Linked DNA regions of Coturnix japonica. Each later gene encodes a partner of the first gene's protein in a complex. Links are inferred from orthologs where the notes say so. Each region holds a gene or a part of one and is shown in the gene's direction. Other genes may lie near its edges.

What was found.
Region 2: the proteins of TGFB3 (region 1) and LRRC32 are in contact, whole or in part, in a cryo-EM structure (PDB 8VSB), measured with the Homo sapiens proteins. The link is inferred for Coturnix japonica from reciprocal best matches to the Homo sapiens genes TGFB3 and LRRC32. Residues at the interface, in NP_001316868.1 of Homo sapiens: Leu24, Ser25, Thr26, Cys27, Thr28, Leu30, Pro347, Pro349, Tyr350, Leu351, Arg352, Thr357, His358, Val361, Leu364, Leu368, Ser375; in NP_001122394.1 of Homo sapiens: Ala110, Ser135, Tyr137, Ser160, Val184, Met186, Asp187, Ile188, Asp190, Phe193, Leu202, Leu204, Arg206, Asn207, Ser208, Thr210, Cys211, Ile212, Ser213, Asp214, Phe215, Ser216, Leu217, Cys227, Asn228, Ser229, Lys254.
Region 3: the proteins of TGFB3 (region 1) and ITGB8 are in contact, whole or in part, in a cryo-EM structure (PDB 8VS6), measured with the Homo sapiens proteins. The link is inferred for Coturnix japonica from reciprocal best matches to the Homo sapiens genes TGFB3 and ITGB8. Residues at the interface, in NP_001316868.1 of Homo sapiens: Gly262, Asp263, Leu264, Arg266, Leu267, Lys268; in NP_002205.1 of Homo sapiens: Ser156, Ala157, Ser158, Asn161, Arg206, Gln210, Cys211, Tyr214, Leu216, Ser247, Gly248, Asn249, Ile250, Asp251, Thr252, Glu254.
Region 4: the proteins of TGFB3 (region 1) and TGFBR2 are in contact, whole or in part, in a crystal structure (PDB 9B9F), measured with the Homo sapiens proteins. The link is inferred for Coturnix japonica from reciprocal best matches to the Homo sapiens genes TGFB3 and TGFBR2. Residues at the interface, in NP_001316868.1 of Homo sapiens: Arg325, Lys331, Trp332, His334, Tyr390, Tyr391, Val392, Gly393, Arg394; in NP_003233.4 of Homo sapiens: Leu50, Phe53, Asp55, Ser72, Ile73, Thr74, Ser75, Ile76, Glu78, Val100, Asp141, Glu142.

What each region holds. Positions count from the first base shown.
Region 1 is NC_029520.1:34,880,262-34,885,719, reverse strand, and holds the end of TGFB3 (transforming growth factor beta-3 proprotein), read left to right. Parts: intron 1-698; coding exon 699-870; intron 871-1,356; coding exon 1,357-1,510; intron 1,511-2,428; coding exon 2,429-2,587; 3' UTR 2,588-3,593; downstream 3,594-5,458. UniProt on the Homo sapiens protein: Transforming growth factor beta-3 proprotein: Precursor of the Latency-associated peptide (LAP) and Transforming growth factor beta-3 (TGF-beta-3) chains, which constitute the regulatory and active subunit of TGF-beta-3, respectively.
Region 2 is NC_029516.1:173,276,022-173,282,601, forward strand, and holds the start of LRRC32 (transforming growth factor beta activator LRRC32), read left to right. Parts: upstream 1-3,057; 5' UTR 3,058-3,619; intron 3,620-6,580.
Region 3 is NC_029517.1:27,615,190-27,621,091, forward strand, and holds part of ITGB8 (integrin beta-8), read left to right. Parts: intron 1-205; coding exon 206-611; intron 612-3,709; coding exon 3,710-3,935; intron 3,936-5,294; coding exon 5,295-5,398; intron 5,399-5,902. UniProt on the Homo sapiens protein: Integrin alpha-V:beta-8 (ITGAV:ITGB8) is a receptor for fibronectin. It recognizes the sequence R-G-D in its ligands.
Region 4 is NC_029517.1:36,726,465-36,731,040, forward strand, and holds part of TGFBR2 (TGF-beta receptor type-2), read left to right. Parts: intron 1-2,789; coding exon 2,790-2,969; 3' UTR 2,970-4,576. UniProt on the Homo sapiens protein: Transmembrane serine/threonine kinase forming with the TGF-beta type I serine/threonine kinase receptor, TGFBR1, the non-promiscuous receptor for the TGF-beta cytokines TGFB1, TGFB2 and TGFB3.

The sequences.
Region 1 (5,458 bases):
CATAACATTTGTCTTAAAGCACACACAGTGCTGGGCTTGCATGTTGATCTTACAAGTACACCCACTTCGTACCTAGGTTGGAAGTGAGAGAGAAGTGCAGTCTGGATGGGGTTTGCGTGCATTTCTGCAAAAGGAATAGCTTTGTATTTCAGAGTCTCTCCGGGAAGCTCAGCTTGATGGATTCTCAGCTCTGCTTTCCAGTTAGGGTGACTGAAACACGGGGAAGTCAGGCATCCTGCATGAGGTGGCCTAGAGAGTCAGTGGCTTGGCTGGCCTAAAATGTAGGAACCTCCTGGCTTGCAGCCCTGGGCTGCAGCCACTGGCCCCCACAGGCTCAATTTCTGAGGCTGTTTTGCAGAGTGCCAATGATCTGACATCTTCTTTAGACCATTCATCTTCTTGCTTGTCCTGGGACTGAAGCCAACAGCAAGTGGGATGGATTAATGGCCCCACCAGCAGTTTGCAAATGGTAAAACAGGTGGCCCACAGGCCTCTATTTCAGGCCTGCAGCAGTCAGATGCACCAGGAGTAAAGAGTTCCCTAGGAGGGAAGAAGTCCCAGAGCGAGTACATGAGGTGCCTGAGTCTCTTTTGCCCTGGTTCAGGGCAGGCAGAGAGTGTTAAGTGTACTGAAAAGTCTTGTTGCATCCTTCACTTCCATATTGATGTCCTCTTCATGGATCCTGTTTCTGTCTGAAGGCATTGACAGTGAGGATGACTATGGCCGTGGGGACTTGGGGCGCCTGAAGAAGCAGAAAGACTTGCATAATCCCCACCTCATCTTGATGATGTTACCCCCACATCGCCTGGAGAGCCCAACACTGGGAGGCCAGAGAAAGAAGCGGGCCCTGGATACCAACTACTGCTTCCGGTAAGTGAGAATCCTGCCAGTGGCCGGGTCCCATGCCTGAGGTGGGAAAGTGGTGAGACTTCACATCACTGGGCAAGGCAGTGCCCACCGAGGGGGCTGCAATTCACTGTGGTTCTGCAGGGGCCACGTGAGCAGTGTAGCTCAGCTGGTGCTCCTTGCAGCCTTCAAGAAGGGGATGCTGCCTGGCCCAGCAATCACTTCTGGCCAAGTTTCTGGCTAGCGGGAGGCTTGTGATCAGCCTCGTGCAGTACAGCCTGGGCAGGGACCAGGCCCGTGGCAGAACAGCCTGGCAGCATGTGCATGCAGTGCCAGGCTGCTGGCCTGCCAGCTTCTGCCAGGTTCTGCCATTCCTGTGCACCCAGTGCAGGTGAATACCACATCCCACCGGGCAATACTGGTCCTGGTTCTTCTGCTCTGGAAGCTGCTTTATGCAAGCACATAAAAGATCCCTCTTTAGATTCACTTCATGTCCATTCTGTGTTTCAGGAACCTGGAGGAGAACTGCTGTGTGCGTCCTCTTTACATCGACTTCCGACAGGACCTGGGCTGGAAATGGGTCCATGAGCCTAAAGGCTACTTTGCCAACTTCTGTTCGGGTCCATGTCCGTACCTCCGCAGTGCAGACACCACTCACAGCACGGTACATCCAGCATATTATCCTTGTGGCCCTGTCAGCACCTCCCTCAGTCTGATGGCATTTGGGCTCTTCAAAGTAGCAGGAGCAGTTTAGATCAATACCTGCAAAAAACTACAAGGAAAGTGCAGCAAAGAGTCTAAGTAGTTTAGCAGGGAGAAACGGTCTTCCTATGGAGTCAGTACTGAGTCCATGCTTCCAGGCAAATGTTGAGGAAGAGGATGCTGTCTCTTGTATGAGATGGGGAAACATCAGGACTTAGGGTACCACTGAAGAGCAGCCAGCTCTGGGAAGACACATGTCAGCTCTTTCATGGTGGTTACATGGCTGGAGTGTACAGTTGTCTGTGGGTTGGGGCCAGCTGGGAGAATGAAGCCAACAGGGTCCCACAGGACACTGTCCCGGCTCCTGCATTACAGTGTAATGATGTGGGGGATGGAGTGGAGAAAGAAAGCATTGGACAGTTCAAAGCTGGGAGGGAACTGTGGCTACTCGAAAGGACAGGCATCCATCCAGCACTATCTAGAGATGTTGGTTGAAATAAGCAGCATTGATTTTCTTTGTTCTGGTTTCTGTAATGGAACCAAAGACAACGCAGCCCCAGGCTGGTTACACCCTGCCTTCTTACAAGCAGAAGTGGCACAATCCGCTGTACCAAATTAGAGATTAAGGGAGTGAACTACTTGTACTTCTTCCACCCTTAGGCATCAGCCAGTCTACATTGCTACGATTAAAAAGCAAAAGGCTCTGGATCAGGCCTGGGCAGGAGCAGGCCATGATAAGAATATTAGTCACATCAGGGAAATGCCCCCGATGAGCGCAGTCCACATACCTGGAGACATGTTTGCTTGCAGTACCTTCCTGTTCTCGACCAACTTAAATGGATTCCTGACTTTGTCACCACATTTACATTTGTTTCCACAGGTGCTGGGCTTGTACAACACCCTGAACCCTGAGGCATCTGCTTCACCCTGCTGCGTCCCACAGGACCTGGAGCCACTGACCATCTTGTACTATGTTGGGAGGACACCCAAAGTGGAGCAGCTCTCCAATATGGTGGTGAAATCCTGCAAGTGCAGCTGAAAGGCACCCTGGGCTGCCCAAAGCCTAGAGAGAAACTGTCAGCACCCATTCTGCTCCAAGGCTAGCACAAAAGGAACTGGGGGTCAGAGACTATGCATGCACAGGGCCGAGTGCTAAACCCTGTGGCTTTGGGTCTGGCAGCCCTTGGGAATCTCTTCTGGAACATTTCTCGGTCTTGTTGCTGGTGTTGCGTTCCCTCTGGGAGCTGCTCTGGCAACATAAAGGCCACACTCCAAAATGACTGGACAGTTGATGCAGAAGAGAAGGACAGTGAAGGAACTGCTGTGTATTTGAATTTTGGGGTAGTCGAACTGGGAAGGCAAAGGATTAGAAAGAGCAGTTAAAAGGAGGGATTGGAAATGGGGCAGTGTTCCCCTTCTTGCTGTAGCTCCCTTGGGACCTCTGCCCTCCCCACTGGCCTGAAGAACTATGAAGGCTTTCCCTCCTGCAGGAGAAAATCCTAGAAGTTTCTTTAGAGAAAGAAAATGCACCAAGAAGAGAAGCTGCTCAGAGAAGAGATGCTCAGAGAGACACACAGACTTACGTTCCTCAGAACTGTGATCCAGGAGGCCTGTATCTATAGTTGTGTTTCTGACAGACCTGAAACTTCAGTTGGCAGATCCTGGCTATTGGTTTCCAAATGCAAACTGCAGGGCTCCCATTCAGCCTGCTGAGGGTGGGCAAAGGCAAGCAAAGAGGGTGCTGAGTCCTTTTTTAGGAGGACTGATGTTTCTATTCAGCTCTTTTCCCTTTCTGGAGTTGCTGAAAGATGGTTTGTGGGTCAGGGCAGGAGCGCTATCTGGGGGTACCTGGATTTTGGAGCCATTCACTCATGAATTGATAACACCCTGAGGACCTTTGTCTGTTGTGGTTTGTGATCTCAATGTGGCCCCAGCCTCACCTGCCAAGACTTTAAAAAAAATAATATTAATCTCAAAAACATTGTAAAAAAATAAATATTTTGGGGGGAAGATGGTCTTTTTTTTTTCTCCTCTCCCCACAATGACGCTGTTGAAGGGTTGGATGGTTTTTTGTTTGTAAACTGCTTCTACTGTGGCAATACTTGGTTACTTTAGAATCTTTTCCTGAGTATCTCTTCAAGGAAACGGGCAGAATTTAGGTCAGCCAGAGAGCTCAGAATGGAAATTCCTTTGTACCTTCAAACAGCGTCTGCTGTGGGTGTGCCCTTCTCACGTCCCTCCGACAGACGCGTCACCTCTGGCGTCTGATTTTGATAGGTTTATATAAAGCTCCCCTCAATCACAACGTATTTCCAAGAGTGCTGTTGAAATAATCAGGGCGCTGCAGTTGTCACAGCTGACAAAAATCATACATTCACTGGAATATCTAAGTTCTGCCAGTACAGACTCGTACACAAAGGCCAGCCCCCTCACATTTACCATGAACGCTTCATACACATAAAATGCTCACAGATGTGGCCCTGGCAAGTAACCAACACACTGTTTTGTAAAGTGTGCTTTTTTCGGCCGCAGATACTCTGAAAATTACAAACTTTGAGTACTTGCTTGCATGTCAGATGAGACCCAGAGGCTGCCTCTCCTGCAACCACAACTACTTAATGTTCTAAAGACCACAAAGAAATTTGTCTCTGTCCCTTCCCACTTCCTGGTCCCCAGCAGCTGAATGTCACGACATGGAACAACTTAATTGCTTGTGGCCAGGGCTCTGCGTGGTCAGCTTGGAATGCAGCTCCTGCTCCTGCACTTCAGTAGCTGCTTCCACACACCTTGCTGCAATGCTGCCGTAACATGTAATCACAAGCTGCACACCCATAAACTACTCTGCTCCATCAGCAGCTGGCAGGATCAGCAAGGGTGGGTCGGCAGAGGGAGCCTGCCAGGCTGCATGACATTTTGGCTGGGGCACACGTGCTCTGAGAGGCACTCCCTGATGCTCAGCTTTATCCCTTTCATCTCCCCAGGGCTCCTTGACCTGTCTTCTTGGTGTAGGGATGAAAAGCAGCGCTCTGATCAGCCCCGCAGCACTAATTTATTGCTGTGCGGCTATCCACGCACACACCTGCCGAGGGAGGGAGCAGGTAAATGCATTGCAACTTCACTGCTATGCTGATAGACAGTCCAGGAATTTAGTGGCTGCCCTGGAGAGGGGGAAAGAGAGGGAAATCCAGATGCCAGTTGGCACAGGAATTCTCTCTTAATCTCCTTTTAGCAGCAGCAGCCCCTGGGGAGGTTTTGGTTTAAAAGCTACAGTCTGTTCTTTGGTCACTGTTCCTCGTGAGCCCTGTGCTGGCTCTGCTGCCTTTCCAGCTGAAGAGCTTTCTTGCTACTAAGGGGAAAAAAAGCACAAGGAGGGGGAGCTGCAAAGAGCTGAGCAAGAACACGAGCTTCGCAGTCATACGTGGCACTTGGAGCGTGCCAGAACCACCCACAGATTAACCCTGGCAGGCCCCTTGAGGTGAGCCTGCTTTGCTAGGCCTTGCTGCTGCTGCTCAGTGGCAGGGAGGGGCGGCAGAGGGAGCAGGCCACGTTGAACTGCTTGGAAGGAAGACAAAATGGAAGGGAAGGCAGGGGGGAGGATTCCCGGGGTGTTCTACGGGTTAGGATACAGGTAACCTCATGGGTACAGGAGTCAAACACTGCCTTCAGTTACTCCTCTCTCCAGCCTTCAGTTTCCTATCTGCCTTTGAGAATTAGGCTTGTAAGACAGGCTCTAAATTCATTTTCTTACAGTTAAAATAGCTTCCTTAGGGTTGCTTGAGCTATAGTTTAGCAACAGTCTATACTACCTACACGGGGTTAATAAGAGATTGAATCCACTCTTGGGCCCAGGCTTCCATCTGCTCTGTTACTAGGTGGCAAATTGACAAAGACAATGGGAATGAAAAAGTGA
Region 2 (6,580 bases), on another chromosome or scaffold:
CATGTAAAACATCATCATCCTCCCAGTGGCAAAATTCCCTAAAGAGCTGGAGGAACAGAAAAAGAGAAGCTCTGTTTCTCAGTGCATTATTTTTTATTTAAAAAAAAAAAAAAAAAGAACAGGCTATAATCAGAGCTGGAGGAAATAGAGCAGAAATATCAAACTTTGTTTAGTCTGGGGAAATATCATTTATAATTAGAGATGGGCATCCTGCTGACATGATACAACCTATTTTAAGCGTGAGGTGAGCACATGGTCAACTGTTAATCTTTTGCAAGTGATTAATTCTGCCAGTTCATCTCTGACTGGCTGGTTTCCATTATTTTCTTTTTAATTTGTAGTCTCTGAAAAGCAACTAGACTAATGCCATCTCAAGATAATGATGCTTATACTGGCAGTGATGCCTTGGAGCATCTCAGTAGCGGGAAGTTTTGGTTTCTGTTTATTCATGGCTATTCGTCTCCATGCCAGCTCCAGCAGCCAAACTTGCTGTTTTCTCCCATGGAAGATTGGGAATCCCATGAGATCTGTAGGGGTTGAGTCTGTGGCAGGAGTTGGCTCGTGGTTGACCTCGTGTGACCATGCACCAACTAGTGGTCCTTTTTTCTGAAGTGATATTTGCTTGTTGATGCATCCTGATGCCTGAGTATGAGGAGGGGCCAGGTCTGTGCAGATGGGGTCAGGGTTCTCTCCCTGGGAAAGACATTATTAGATCAAGAGATATAACCAGAGAAACATCATCCCTCAGGTGTCACCTGGAATCAGCCATAGGTTGACCCATATCTTCTGAGACCCACACAACAGAGCTGGAGGTGCAGCAATAGTAGAGTCTGTGGGAATAATTTCTTCTGTTTCCATATGTGGATTAAATTTATTTTTGGAAGACTTTTTCCCCTTTCAGTGATGGATCACTTTCCTATTCATGCTCCACTTGGAATATACAACAGAATTCACTTCTCTAAGTAGCCAGTCCACATGGCTGCCGTGACATCAAATTGGCCATCAGGTCTTCCTGGCTCAGTGACAGGAGGTGAAACTACATACCCTTGTGCTTTGGTGAACTTTCTCTGTGGGTAATTCCTAGCTGACTAAAATAGCATGGAATTAGAGAAGAGTTTCAGCTTGGATGGCAGGTATTCCTCAAGAAAACAATGTTGAGCTTGTGCCAAACCAAACTGTGTAGCCATTCACTAGGGGTGATGTCACAGGATGGAGCAATAGTGGATAGTTAGTTCAGGCATTGCACAAAATGTCAAGGGCCATGCTGCTTTCAGATCATAAGCTTACTTCTTGATACATGTCACGCTGTCACGCTGGAAAACATTCATTAGACTTAAATAAATACTGTGATGTGAATCATGACTTTGTAGGATACTCTTAAAACATTAAAGTTTCTATAAGGGCACAAGGACATGCCCATCCTTATATTTGCCATGCAGGGTAATGTCAATCAGGGATAATGCTGAGAGAGTTGGGGTTGTTTAGCCTGAAGAAGAGGAGGCTCTTGGAAGACCCAACCTAATACCCAACCTAAACCTCCCTTGTCTCAGTCTAAAAACATTCCCCTCTTGTTCCAGAAGTTGTGGGTCACTGGGGGTTTTTAAAGTTGGGTTGGACAAGGCTACTGCAAGTAATAAAGCCATTGTTTGCTTCTTTTCTATTATATACTCACCATTATTTATCGTCTTTGTTACACACTTAAAACAGCAACGTATGCAAGATGTATTTACTATGCTATTTAACGAACCACATCTCACACATCTGTTGATGCTTTCACCCAGAGCCTCCCACTACATTGCAGATCTGGAAAAACTCTGACTCACAAAGGCTGGTGTGCTACAAGAAACCCATCAGCAACTTGTTGTGGAGGGGCAAAGGCTGCATGCTGGCATGTGTTGAACAGAACCCTCAAAGGTTTTTGGCACATGGGATGAAAGGATATGCCTTTTATCTGTCTTTACCAAGGGACATGGTTTAATGGTATGGTGGGTTGATGGTTGTTCTCAGTGACCTTAACTGTCTTTCCAACCTTAACGATTCTATGATTTACCAAATGGATCCAGACAAGCAGAGCAGAATTTATGCTGTCCAGGAGAAAAGAGTCAGCACTGCATTTTTCTTGTTGTTGTTGTTATTATTATTATTATTATTATTATTTACCAGTGGAAATCAATGCAAATAATGGTCTAAAGGTGGGAAATGTCCAGTGCTGAAGCCAGACTTCTCCTCTATGGGCTTTGCATGGCACGGATGTCCTTAGCACTCACCACTGGCACTTTGGAGTGTCTTCTTCGTGCAGGGGAAGCAAGGTGTCTAACATCTGCCAGCACTTGTGACGTCTTCCAAGAGTGCACAGCACACTGTCTCAGAGGAGAAGGTCTGTGCCATCACAGACACATGTGCAGCACTGCAGCACAATGCCAGCAGTGGCAATGGTGGAGATGGTCCCCATAGGCATAGGGTGTGAGGTTGGCTGTGAGCCTCGGTGCCATTTGGGATTCCACGATGGGGTGTACTAGTCCAAGGGAGATCAGGACACAACTAACAAAGCTAAGACTCAGCTTGCCCCTAAGACATCTAGTCTTATCATCCTAAGGATCCTAGAATCATAGAACATCCAGTCTAGAGCTGGCAAAACCCTCTCAGAACTGGTATTTCTGGAAACTGGTGTGTGAGGCCAGTGGACACCAGCCCAGTGACCAGAGCACTTCTGAGCAGAAGACAACATGAACAATTCTCATCTCTCCAACCCATCCACATGACAACAAGGAAAGAAATCAAACCAATGACCAAGGAAACACTAAGGAAAAAAATGATCAAAGGAAAAGAAAACCAGGTCTGCCTCATCATCCTTTTCAGAAGGTATTTCTGCTATTACCCATTCAAGCATGAAATTGAGTTTATCCTTTCCCCCAGGGGTACATCTCACTGTTGTGTCACAGAGAGAGGCTGGAGGACAAAGTGCTGTGCTCATCCCTCTCCAAAATTACCCTCTCCCCTCACACTCCATCCTGCACAGAGCTGATGGGTTTGCCCTTTTAGGAGTGTACGTGGGTCTATGACCCTTGAACAGTCCCATCTTTATTATGGGTCTATAGGGCTGTCTACCTTCACTTTGTCCCCACAGTTTGCCCCAACCCAGCCTGTATCACCGAGCTCTGCAAAGGGGATTTCTGTGGTGCTCACAGCCTGTTCCGAGCGTCAATACGAGAGAAGCGTAATCACCAGCTGAGAAACTGCAGGAAATAAGCCAAGGTTGAATGAACGAAATGGAAAATAAAGAGAAGCACAAGAGGACACACACATTTTAAAACTATTACGGAGCTATGCGTTCACGTGCTCATGGGAGCCTGGGAATATATAAGAGCTCATGACTGCGAAGGAATGAATTCAAGGACCGGTCTATGGGGAGCGTGGTTGTTTCTTTCTTTTTTTTTCTCTCCCTGTGACTTCAAACTTCTCTCCGAGCTCGCAGAGTTTTAGTCAGCTGGCATGCAACAGAGGTTCGACTTCCCCAAGGAAACTCTTCCCCAGCTCGCGCTGGGACGGCTGCTGGGAGCGGCTGGGAGGCAGAAAACTGCGGGCAGAGGCGAATCCTCCTCCTCCGACCCCACATCAGGTATGTGAAGAAGCGCTGGGAAGTTGAGCTGGGAGCTTTTTTGGCTGCGGGGACGCAGAGCTGCAGCCTTTAGAAATAGCACAGATGGGGAAGGTGCTGTGTAAATAAGATAGCTATGTTTATGCGCTGGTTAAACACTCGATGTAAATGTCTCTATCTGCACAGCTGTATATTCAAGTCATCGGGACTTGAGCTGCAGAGAGTTGCACTCTTTAAGTTAAGGAAGCACTGGTTCATTTGTAGCCATACAGTCATTAACTGTGTTAGCGTCCACAAAAGATGGAGAGATAAGTTTTATCCTTTCTTCACAGCACTTCATTCTATTTATGGTGTTACTGCATTGTAGTGCCCTGAACCAGGAGTGCTGCAGAGACTGGCACTGTGCTCACTGATTAATGCTGCTCTCCCAGCACTCTGACACTGCGTCCTCATACAGCCTTGGGCAAATCACACTGTCCCAGGCTGAAATGAAGTGAAATGCTGCTTAGCTTGCTGCTCTCCTTGCTATCAGTGCTGTCACTGGGCTGTTCCTTTTGGAACACAAGGTATGGGTTAACAGCATTGGTCTATTGCTCCTATCCTCACAGCTTGAATGTCACCTTGGGTGAACAGTGACTTATTGGTAGTTGCTGTTTGTGTTGCATCCAAACTCGTGAGGAATTGATGTTTAGAGGATATTTGGAAATAGCAAAGTTCTACAAAATCCTGGTTCATATAAAAGCCACAGAAAACATTTTAAAGCCAAGCTCTGTTGTATTTTTGATCAAAGTACACATATGTTTCCCTTATACAGAATCCAAAGTTTGGCTTTCCACAAAAAAAAAAATAAAAATAAATAGTAATAATACTAATCTGATTTTTTACCAAGATGTACTTTTTCCAGATTTAAAATAATCCTATTGATTAATTTTGTTTTGGATTTCAACATCAAAAGTTACGATCAGTCTTGTCTTTCTAGAGCAGATCAGTGACTGAATCAGTGCTTGGCCTTTATTAATACAATTATGAATGAATTCACATGAGGGTATCGATGTTGCGCAAGTCAAATGTGCCAGAAATAGTTTTCCTCACTTCATTTTATCTCCTGTTGTATTGAGTATCCCCTGCTGTATCATACAAATTGAATACATCTACTATCAAAAAAACCTGACTCCACTGTCAGAAAAATTACTGAAATAAAAACTGATTTCTCTCTGTGTTTTACTGTGCGTAGGTTAAAGCTGGTCAGAAAGCATTATGGTTTGGTTTGTGGCTTTGAGTTTCTCCAAGAATTTTGTTCTCCACAGAGAGAATTTCATATTCAGATAGTTTCATCTTCCAGTGCCAGCTCATGTATCTTTGGGTAGATAGAACTTATTGCATTTTCACATGCTTTGCCATCCCTTTGCCCAGCCCCTCTCTTTCAATGCCTTTGCCATCCCTTTGCCCAGCCCCTCTCTTTCAATGTCTTGAGGCTGACGTTTTCATGCAATTCTCATCCATTTTATATATATATTTTTCTATTTATATAAAAACGGAGGTGAATGAAATAGGAGAAGTCATTAAATCCTGTGTGTATCTGCTGTCCAAGTGGGCTGGAAAGCTGATGTCTCCCAGATAATCTATGGTGGGGAAATGCTGTTGGCTGCCTGGTCCTAAAGAAAGAGGACCACATGGGAGAGAGAGAAGGAAGGCAATAGGCAGGGGAAAAGCCCGATATAAGTCATGCAGGTGTTGTGGGATCGATTGGTTTGTGGACTTGATGGTAGAGAGACAGGAGTTTGAACCTGTGCATGGTGCTTGTCATCATAGAATGGAATGGCTTGGGTTGTAAGGATCTTCAAGGGTCATCAGGTTCCAAACCATCTGCCACAGGCAGGGTTGCCAACTGCTAGATCAAGAAGTAGATTAGGCTGCCCAAGACCCCATTTTGGTGTTGAACATTACCAGGGATGGAGCATCCTGTTTCTCTGGGAATTCTGTGACAATGCCTCACCATTCTCTCAGTGAAAAAATTCCCCCTGACGTCTAACTGAACTGAAGCAGGAGAGATTCTGTAGGCTCTCAGGAACTGGAGCTGTGCCTCCTTCTGAAAGTCCATGCCTGAGGATAGCCTCAGCTATTTAGTTTTTAATAGGGTTAATATTGCTGTTGCCCCCAGCTCCCTGGGGGGATGAATCACTGGGGAGCTATTCTGGCCAAAGGGAGCAAGATGTGTCCCACTCCTGCCCTTGCAGTTCAGACCCACTTTCTAAGGCAGGAGTTTGTTTTGTTTACTTCTCTGGAGAGTTTGATTCATGCTGCTTGACACAGGACTCAACCCAAAAGCAGTGCCTTAGAAAGCAGCAGCGTTATGGATGGACAGACTCCAAAAGGGCTGAAAGTTCAAGACATATAATCGTCAAGACATATTCTTGTTTATCAGAAACCCTTGGGAACCTGCAGCAAATTGTGGGTAGGCTCGTGAGAGCCAAAGGCTGGGATTTGCTTTTTCTACTGTGAGCTATGCTGGGAAGAGGCTTTGGAGGAGTGATCTCATGAGACACCCATCTCTGTGTTGTGTTGGATCCCTAATTCATAGAATCATACATTGGCTTAGGTTGGAAGTGGTCTCAAAGCCCACCCAGTTCCAATGCCTCCCATGGGCTGATTGCCTCCCACCAGCTCAGGCTGCCCAAGGCCCCATCCAACCTGGCCTTGAGCACCTCTGGGGTAGGGGTATCTACAACACCTTTGGGCAGCCTGTTCATATCTTCCAATCTGTTTGATGCAGGTGACCCAATCCATCTGATGGATTCTGTGCTGAATCATAGAATCACTGAGGTTGGAAAAGACCTCTAAGATCACCAAGTCCAACCCCAACACATCATGAACACTAAACACATCCCTCAGTGCCAAATCAAGCCTTTTCCTGGACACCTCTGGGGACAGCGACTGCACATAAAAGTACATATGGTTAAAAAGCCTTTTAAGTTAAAGACT
Region 3 (5,902 bases), on another chromosome or scaffold:
ACTCCTGCCAACCTCATGTTGTTAGGGTTTAATCATGTTTGCGATGCTTATGTTTGCTAGTATATTTCACAAGTGGCCACTAAATACTATTACCAGCTACTGCACGTTCATACGTAATGTGAGATTCTTCTTTGTGCATTAAAAATTGTAAGTAATTTGTAGGGAAAAAAAGGATAAATGTAAAATATGTTTTTATTTTTCCTAGGTACTTTTCAATGTGTCAGTCACAGTGAAAGGATGTGATACATCAGGGGGAAGAAGTTATGCAATACTTAAGCCTATTGGTTTCAATGAAACCACTACTATTAATGTACAGAAAAGCTGTGCCTGTCAGAATGGAAACAACACAAAGCCCAAGAGAGTATGGACTGATGAAACCTTTCCTGATGGCAAACAGCCCCATTGCAGTGACAGCAGTTGCAGCTACAGCAGAGAGACGTTTCCTTCTGAGGAGTGCAGGCAGCACCAGGACCAGCCCATCTGCAGTGGCCAAGGAGATTGCATAGAGGGAAAATGTTTCTGCTACAAGAACAAGCTAGGCAGGGTATATGGCAAATACTGTCAAATGGATGATTTTTCTTGCCCATATCACCAGGGAAACTTATGCTCTGGTAAGCTGCAGAATTTAGGTCTGTGCTTTACTTTTCTTGTGTTTTCTTTTCTGAAACTTATGTACATTATGCATCTGAAAGAAATGATGTAAAGCTGTCAAGTACAAGAATTATGTGTGCAGAATTAGGAGATATATGTGAGATGCTGAGAGAATAGAAGGAGCCATAACATCTACATGTAGTTCTGATTTTCTAACACCCTGAATCAGTCTTGTCATAGATACAGTGATATCTGGTTTCTAATACTGATACATATGCAAACACTTAAAGTACCTTTAAATTAATGATATTAAGGAAAATAGATTTTAATCAGAATCATTATCTCTACTGGAATATATTTTTTACCCTCAGAAGTTATATTTCAAGTACTTTAAAACCTGTACTGCTGTTCTGCATCCTCTCATTTCACTCTGTACTGAGTGAGGCATTGGCTGATGTGTTGCCAAGCTACTCTCAATGATGTTTGAAAAGTCACAGCAGTCAGGTGAAGTCCCTTGTGCCTGGAAAAAAGCAACGTCACACCCATTTTCAAGAAGGTTAGAAAGGACAATCCAGGGAATTACCAACTTGTCAGCCTCATCTCTGTGCTGGGGAAGACCATGGAGTGGATCCACCTGGAAGCTATGCTGCAACACATGGAGAGCAGGGAGGTGATATAGAACAAGTAACATGGCTTCACCAAGTCCTGCTTGACCAACATATTGGCCTTCTATGGTGGTGTAACAGCATCAGTGAACAAGGAAAAGTCACTAAAGTCAACTGTCTGAACTTTTGTTCAGTAAGGCTTTTGACACAGTCCCCTACAACAACCTTCTCTCCAAATTGAAAATATATGGATCTGACAGGTTGGCTGTTCAATGGAAAAAGAATTCCCATTTACTCCCCAGCGAATGGTGGTCAATGGTTCAATGTCTAAATGGAAATCAGGAATGAGTTGTGGACCTCAGGTGTCAGTGCTAGTACAGATGCTCTTTAATATCTTCATCAGTGATACTGACAGTGCAATCAAGTACATCCTCAACAAGTTTGCAGATGACACCAAGCTGTGTGGTGTAGTCAACATGACCAAGAAATAAGATACCATCCAGAGAGACCTAGACATGCTTGAGCAGTGGGCCTAGGTGAACCTCATGAAGTTTGACAAAGCCAAGTCTTGTATCTGGATCTCATCAACCCCCAGTATCAATGCAAGCTGGATGGAAGGATAGAGCACAGCCCTGGTAAAAAGGATTTAGGGACACTGGTGGATGGAAGCAGGATACAAGCCAGCAATTTGCCCTTGTAGCCCAGAAAGCCAACTGTGTCCTGGGCTGCACCAAGGGAAACGTGTTCACCAGGTCAAGGGAGGTGATCCTGCCTCTCTGCTCTGAGCTAGTGAGACCTCACCTGGAGTACTGTATCCAGATATGGATAGATACATCTCTCAGTATAGGAGAGACATGAACCTGCTGGAGCGCTTCCAGAAGAGGGCCACAAAAATGATCCACAGCATGGAACACTTCTCCTGTGAGGACATATGAGAGAGCTAGGACTGTTCAACATGGGGAAGAGAAGGCTCTGAGGTGACCTGATAGTGGCCTTTCTGTATCTAAGGGGGATATAAGAAAGAAGGGGACGGACTTTTATCAGGATCTCTTGTGACAAGACAAGGAGAAATGGTTTCAACTGAAAGAGAGATTTAAACTGGATATATGCCAAAAAAAAAAAAAGTTACTACAGGAGTGGTGAGGCATCAGAACAGGTTTCCCAGAGAGATGGTGGAAGACCTGTCCCTGGACATATTCAAGGTCAGACTGGAGGGATCTCTGGGTAACCTGGTAAAGCTCTAGATATTCTTGTTCATTGCAGAAGACGGGACTAGATGACCTTCAAGAGTCACTTGCAGCTCAAACAATCCTATGATTTTATGATTCATTCCAACACAAAAACTTGTTGTTCATGTTCTCAGTCTTCTCCTCTGACCACAGCAAAGTCTGGGTATTTAGTTTTTCTTATCCTAAGCAGAACTTTCAAATTTGCAAGGTCCCAAAGCCTGTGATGCAGTGGAAGAGGAAACAGGGAGATCTTTGTCTAAGACATGTTGGAGATTCTTACTTTGATGGAGTCTCCTGCCCAAGCAACATGGGACCATGTCTCTGTATCTGCCCCTTAGTGGGATATTTTACAGCACAGAGCCCAGGCAGAACAAGAGGCAGCCTATACTTTACTCACACTGCCCCCCGCCCTCAACCCTTAGGCAATTCCATGTAGTTAGATGGGACTGTCTTTCTGCATCTGCTCTGCAGGTCCTTGAAGCACAAGAAGGGCCACTGCAGTACATGCAAAGTCTATGTACTGCTGAGGGCATGGCTGAGGAAGTCTCATAAGATTTGCTATAGCTGCAAGCAACAGCTGCATTGGACTCTCTGTTTTTATATTTCCTAAAGGTGTTTTCTTACGTTGTAAAACTATGGCTAAACATTACCGGCACATCAATTGTACACCTGTCTTAATATACTGCAATGTGAAAAATGTCTGGATTTTGCCCTAAAGCATCCACTGATTTGCCACCAGAGGTTCTCCATAGCCTTTGAGCCCTTGAGGCTGTGCAATTTAATTTTCATACTGCATTCAGTTATCTGTCCCTTTAAAAGGCTGAAAAATGTTGTAATGCATGCTTCTGAAAAGAAAATGAAAAGAACTGGCTTGAACATATGAACTTGATACTCCTTCCTCTCAGAATTTTGCAATTTATTTGAGCTAAATGCTTAATTGCTACAGAGTAGTTTGTTTAGTTTGCTTGAAGGCTGTTTTCCTGAAAGTTGTGTAATTTTTAAACTCTTCTGCTTTGATCCATGACAACAAGGAAAACTGTGGTAAAACATTTTAGGACACAATCAAGGTAGCAGCTTTTGCTCAAATTAGCAGCAAACAGCAGCCATAAATGTGTATCATGGTGATAATTTCAGCCTAATTGTTAACTTTAAAAGCTTATCAGCAGGCCAAGGACTACATTAGCTGTTTGATATAAGGCACCTGCAATACAAACATATGTATATAAAAATTGACTTTCTGTGTTTTCATAAAAGCATTTGACTCAAGGTTATCTGATGTTTTAGGTAATGGTGAATGTGAAGCTGGTAAATGTAAATGCTTTGCTGATTGGGAAGGTGACCGTTGCGAGTGTTCATTACAATCAGCAAAGCAGTGCCTGAATTCCAAGGGCCAGATTTGCAGTGGAAGAGGAAACTGTGTATGTGGAAAATGTGAGTGCACTGACCCAAGAAGCTTTGGCCGTTTGTGTGAATTCTGCCCTGCTTGTAACAAAGCCTGTGAAGAAAACTGGTAGGTTACTTGTGCCACACTTCATGTTTAACTCTGTAGTGTTGAAGCAAGGAGAAATATTTCTTCTTGGCTATGTATACTATGTGCTATTTTCCTTAGATGTTTAGATTATAGGAAACTTGAAACATTTCCTACCCAAGGATTTTTTCTATGTAGTAGGGTTTTCCTGCTCACAAAACAGCTGAATGTCCACATCTGTGCTCATCAGTATTTCTGCTTTGGGAAGTCATAGGTGATATGTGGTATGAGTATGGCTTTTTTCATATATACTAAGGGACAGTTCTTCATATAAAATGTTCTGAGTTGAGAACAGAGTCTATAATTTTGGGATTTTAGAAATGGACACTAGATCCTGCTCTTAAGTGCCACTAAGTCCAGTAATATTTCCTGAATTTCTCTCCACGCTCTCCTTGTGCCTACAGTCTGAAGGGAGGAGGAGTGAACAAGAGCAGTACCCATGCACTGTCACTGTGTTTTTTAAGGTAGAGTGAGTGAAACCTTGTCCGTGGTTTCTCTGGCCCTCCTGAAAAATAACACAAATATCGTCTCACATCCCAATTTCTACAGCATGGTGACAGAACAGCCTTTAGTTGGGGAGGGAAATGCAGTAGAAACAGAAATGTTGATTATTTGTACTCATTTGAAATATAGTTCATGTGGTAAATGCACAGGGGAGACAAATTGGACTGTATCTGGAAAGGTGACTGCTAATAGATTCGCCGGATAAAATGAAGTTAGCCTTGCTGGCTTAGACTAATTCATTAGACTAATTCAGTATCACTGTGAAATGTGTGCCTCTAATACATTCAGAAAATGGCATACATTCATTTGAAAAAGAATCAAGGCTTTTCTGGTATCGCCTGAGATGTCCATCCTCTTGCAAAGCTATAAAGTGAAATTAGTGAGGCTGCCATGCTGTCTCCCACCTTGCTGATGATCTGTATAAGCTACCCAGCACTGAGAACTTATATGTTTTTTCCTAACAAAGCATCAAAAAAGTTCTTGACTATCACAGCATATTTTCCAGTGATAGACAAGGAAGACTAAGAATGAACAGGAGGCTGACAGTGGAAGAGATGGTGCAAGACCCCTGAGGAACACATCTGAGAATGCAAAACAGGGGCCGGATGAAGGGGGCTTGAAACCAAACAGATGTTCTACTTACTAATTCTGAGTGGTCAGCCTTGAGAAGTGTCACAGGGATAAAATGCTGAGGAAGGCATCTCATTTCAGAAAAAATAAATAAATGTCGCAATGTTTTTACTAACAACAGGAAAACAATACGTCAGCTTGTTGATAGAATCTCTGTAAGGAGAGAGCAGAGAAAAACAGAATGATTTAATTACATTTTTCTTACAGGAATTGTGTTCAGTGCCATCATTCTAACAATGCATCTCAAGCTAAACTTGACCAGTGTAAAACCTCATGTGCTTACTTATTGCATTATGTTGACCAAACTTCAGGTATGTAGTATTTTCTAGATAATTTTGGTGAGAGTTGAAAATCTGTCCAGATTAATGTTAGAAAACATCACTGTTACCTTTCAGAAGTATGTCAGTATTATTACAATAAGAAAGAAGGAAAGCGGGAAAAAAGAAATTACTCCTAGCTTCAGGGAAAGTAAAAGATAAATAGTGACAGGAAATGTAATTGGCAAGCATTGCTAAATAGATTTCCCATTTCCTTGAGAAATCACATCTAATAATAATGAATCCTGCCTGAGCCATGCTTGAAGAAATATTTGTAAAAGTCCATTATGACATTTGCATGTTTTATTACATTGGATATGTTTACATTATTTGACATTACCAGAAGTGAAGAAGGATGAGATAGAATGCTTACTTCACCATCAGTAATGTTTAAATACTCCCTGCAAGTAAAAAAATGTTGTAGTTTTAAGGGTCTTGGAAGAATAAAATACTTTTTAATAAAATATTATCAAGCTTAATTAGTCCACACTGCATCAA
Region 4 (4,576 bases), on another chromosome or scaffold:
TACACACGGGTTCCATCAGCAGAGAAAACAAAGCTCAGCACTTTTTATCACAGAGAAAAGTAATACTGGCATCCCAGCTGCTGGCAGGTTTAAGAAAATAGGAAGTGAGTCGTCAGCAAGTCTGTTTGTTTTTATTCAGGGCAGTGTAGTGTCAGTCATTGGCATGTTGGGAAGCTCTCTGTCAGCTTTCTCTGTTCTTACACATCATGGTGGCACTTCCTAGGTGATATTCGCAGCCCAACTTCTCAGTTGCTGAATGGAAAAGAGCCAAAAGCATGCATTCCTTAACTTCTGCTCTGAGCGGTTTTATCAGAAGAGATAAAATGAGAACCATATCAGAGAAGTGAGGCTTGGTCATTCCACTTATCAGTGAAATATGTTGAGTGGTCTTTACAGACAAAAGGAAAGCATCACAAACATTTATAAAAGCCAGGCAAACAAGATCAGCTGGTATTTCCATCAGGAGCAGTAACACTCCGTATTTTTTCATTCCAGTTGAAATGTTAAAATTGTAGTCTAACACTTAATTGGGAAAGGTCCTGTGAGTGGCTGTAATCAGTCATTCCTCCAACCAGGAGCAACGTATCTGCTCCCTAATGACTGCAGCAGAGTGCACGCCATTCCTGGACCTGTCATCTGCAATGAGCAGGGTTACTGAGGAGGGATGCTCTCACTGAGGAGGAGAGCTGTGTTTTGAGGGACATCTGAATACCTGATGTTGCCAGTACTGAAAGGCCTTTGACATTTCTATGATCTATAGCTACAGCTGTCTTCTAACTGATCTGTTGAACTGGGAAGGTTACATTCATGCTCAGGAGTACAGAATAGAAAAGACTGCAATTTTATATATATATATATATATATATATATATATTTAATTAAGTATGAACAGGTAAAAGTCATCAGGAGCTGACTGCAGCTATTTGTTTTCCACTAAGGCAAAAAGAAGTCCAAACCAGCAGCAAACGTGGAAATTTAGAAGAGCCCAATTAACAAAGCAGGAAAGAATCCTGAGCCAGGACACTGGGAAGGAAAAAGAAAATTGAAGAAAATGCTTAAGATTAGCAACAATGTGAGAACATTTCTGAGAATATCCCAAAGTCCTGGTCTTAACATGTCAAAAGAAATGAAGTAGTGTAGAGAACTGATTAGGGAAATAGAAGAACAACAGGAAGATCTGTAGTCAGTAGACTTGAGGACAGTACATTTTCTCAAGAACAAAAGGAAATCTAGCTTCGTACCAATCCATCACTGCCTGTCCTGCTTATGCTAATGCAGAGGTGGAAGTTGTCAGCAAATATTTCTGTTCTGCATTTGGGAAGAGTCAGATGACATACATGTAGTAGAAGATGATGAAGGCTCCAATGAAGCAGAAGTCACTGACACTTAGAAGAGGTCATGGGTATCGTTAAGTGGCCCAGAGACTTGTGTGCATTCAGGGCTGAGCTACTCCTGCAGACTCCACATGGCATGACAGTAGGAGCAGCGACGCAGCTGGTTGTGCCTTGGTGAGGGAGCACCAGCAGCTCCTTGCACATGTTAGGCTCAGGGTTCCAGCAGTGCTGGGGGCAGTTGGTGCTACCCACATTGCAAAACACAGGATGTCCTGCCAGCTGGGATGCATTGCCTGTGTTTGTGTGTGACTGGAGTGGGCACAGCTGGCTCCAGCAAGGTTCAGTTAAGAATCTAAGGCAGGAAGTGAATGTCCAATAACATGCTCCCAGGACATTTAGCGAAGGTGGATTTAATTCCCTTTGTCTGAATCCCTTCAGCGCTTTACATTGCGCTACCTACAATTGGGTGACGCATGGGCTTCAGCGGGGCTGTGACAGTTTGCAGCAGCTGAGGATCTGCTTTGAACTCCTCAGAAGCTGCTCTTACTGTAATAGCTCTTCCATATTCATTTCCTTCCTCTGCAGTCGTATTTTTGTAATGAACTCATTATTCATCATGATAAAATTCTGGAATGGATTTACATATTACATTTTTTCCCCCTTAATGAGATTTGTTGCACTATTGATTTCAAGTTAATGTTTAATATTTAATTTAATTTACTGCTTGTAATTTCAATGCCATCAGAAAACTAATGTTATTTGTATACAGACAGTAATGTTCTGCTATTAACATTGACATCAGTCAACATCACAATTAGGTAAATTATACAATTAATGTAGTGTTGTGAAATGTTATTTTTTTAAATAAGAAGTTTAAGATAAATCCCTTTTAATGGGCTCTTAGTGTCATAAAGCAAAACACACCATTTCCTGGCAAATACCTCATGTTTATAAAATGCATTACAAAGATGCAACTGTTTTTTTGCTCCTGTAAACATGTGCATCGGCATTGAAATGAAGGTTAAATAGTTACATCTGTGAGTGACATGTGTTTAAGTGTTTGTGGGACTGCGGCCCATATTTGCACACAGTTTTAGTTTGTCTGTGGAGAATTCATAAAGGCTGATGTCAGGACTGATATTGCTGGCAATCAGGATTCTGTTCAAAAAAAACCAGCACAAATAGGATTCAGCCATGCAAAGGGATGGGTTGAGTGGGAAGTTGTTATCTAGCTATTCTGATTGTATTTATTAGACCAAAAACTACTTTATTCTATTGGTCCAAACAAAAAAGTCTTTTATAGTGAGGAGGGTGAGGCACTGGAACAGGTTGCCCAGGGATGTGGTGGATGCCCCATCCCTGGAGACTTTCAAGGCTGAGCTGGATCAAGCCCTGAGCAACCTGGTCTAGCTGTGCATGTCCCTCACCACTGTGCTCTCTCTGTGTTCTCCACAGGGCATCCAGATGGTGTGTGAGACCCTTATCGAGTGCTGGGACCACGACCCCGAGGCTCGGCTCACAGCACAGTGTGTGGCAGAGCGCTTCAGTGAGTTTAAGCACCACGACAAGCTCTCAGGGAGAAGCTGTTCAGAGGAGAAGATCCCCGAGGATGGCTCTGTGACCACCGCCAAGTAGCATGCACCCAAGAGCTCCAAAATGGAGGGAGGTCGCTCCTAGGCACGTTACCTTGGCAGAGGAAGAAGTCACAATCAGTGCCTTGACTTGCTTCCTGGAGGACTGAGGCTGTCACTACTCCCTTTGAGCTGTGGTTCTGGGCAGGGAGATGTATGCATGGGAGTTATAAGCCAGGGAGTGGGTGTCGTACCCCAGCATAGGCAGCCAGTGTCATGTCATAGGAGGAGCTAAGTCTGTTAGCACTTCCTCAGGAAAAGAGATTTGAGAATAGCCAATAACATTATGCACTTTAATAATGCCTGTATATAACTATGAAATTGCTATTTTTATATATATATATATATATACATATCTATTAAAAATGTCTGTGTATGTATATATCTATCTATATATCTGTAAACAGCCATGCTCTGAAGAAAAGAGTTTAAAAAATGCTTGCAGGAAATTACCTGTGCATTAGAGATCCCTCCCCGTAGGGAAAGCTCCTGGGGAGGCTGGTGTATCAGGACACTAGCAATTGTGCACTAAGCACTCTGCCAAAAAGATGGGAACAGTGAGCAATAAGAAGATGGCTTTGAAGCATGTGCTGTACACAGCCAGCTGTGACCCAGGAGACGACAATTGCAACAGCAGTCTCATGGCAAAGAGACAGATCTGGCTTTGCAGTTGTTAACTATGTGCTCCTGCCTGCAGCGTGTTGCGGAAGATTCGGGGATGTCTTTGCCCTCTTGCCTTAACCCCAAGGTCCTCACAGCCTCCCACAGTGGGAGGGAGCGTGAGTAGGCTTGGTCCCTCCCACCTGTGTTTCTATGCAGAGGTCATTAGCGTTGCGTGTTTATTGCTTTGAGTTCATGCTGCTTGCAAGCAGGTTGCAAAATAGCAGCGGGATGAGATTTTCCCCTCCTCCCTTCCCCTCCCCCAAACCGCACACAACTGGACGCATCCAGCAGTAATCCAAGCAGATGTTTTATATTTGCTCTGCATTCTGAACACAGACTGTACTTATTTTTTCCCCTTCCCTTTTACCTTGATTGCATTGCTGTGAGAACAAATGACTTTTTCCTGGTACAGCATATCTAATTGCTTGACATACCGCAGCCTGACTCTGCTCCACGCTTTCTAGAGAAAAGTGAGAGACAACGCCCAGTGCCTTTGCTTTTGCACAGGGACCTTAGAGGGGAGGGAAGGCTCCATGTCATCAGGTTCATGGCATATCCTGCCCTCTTCTCTGCACTGTAGTGGGAATTTAGTTATCCACATTGTTTAGGAGGACAGTTGACGTATATAAACTCATACAAATGACAGCAGTGCATTTAATAATGCTAACAATTTTGTCTTCAGGAGATGTGCAGTCATTTTTCACTTCTTTCTTCTGTTGGCTTGTAAGTGGGCTGTGGTAACCAAGAGCTGAGCACAGTGCAGTCCCATACAGGACCGTGTCCGGTGCAATTCACTGAACACCTTTGACAGATAAACATTGATATCACTTTAGAAGATATTGCCAAGTAAGTCAATAGGAATCATGCTCATTTAAATAGGAGCTTAGACTGACCAGCAGTGAAAAATACTTCATTTCAAACGTTATTCCATCCCCTTTCATTTCATTT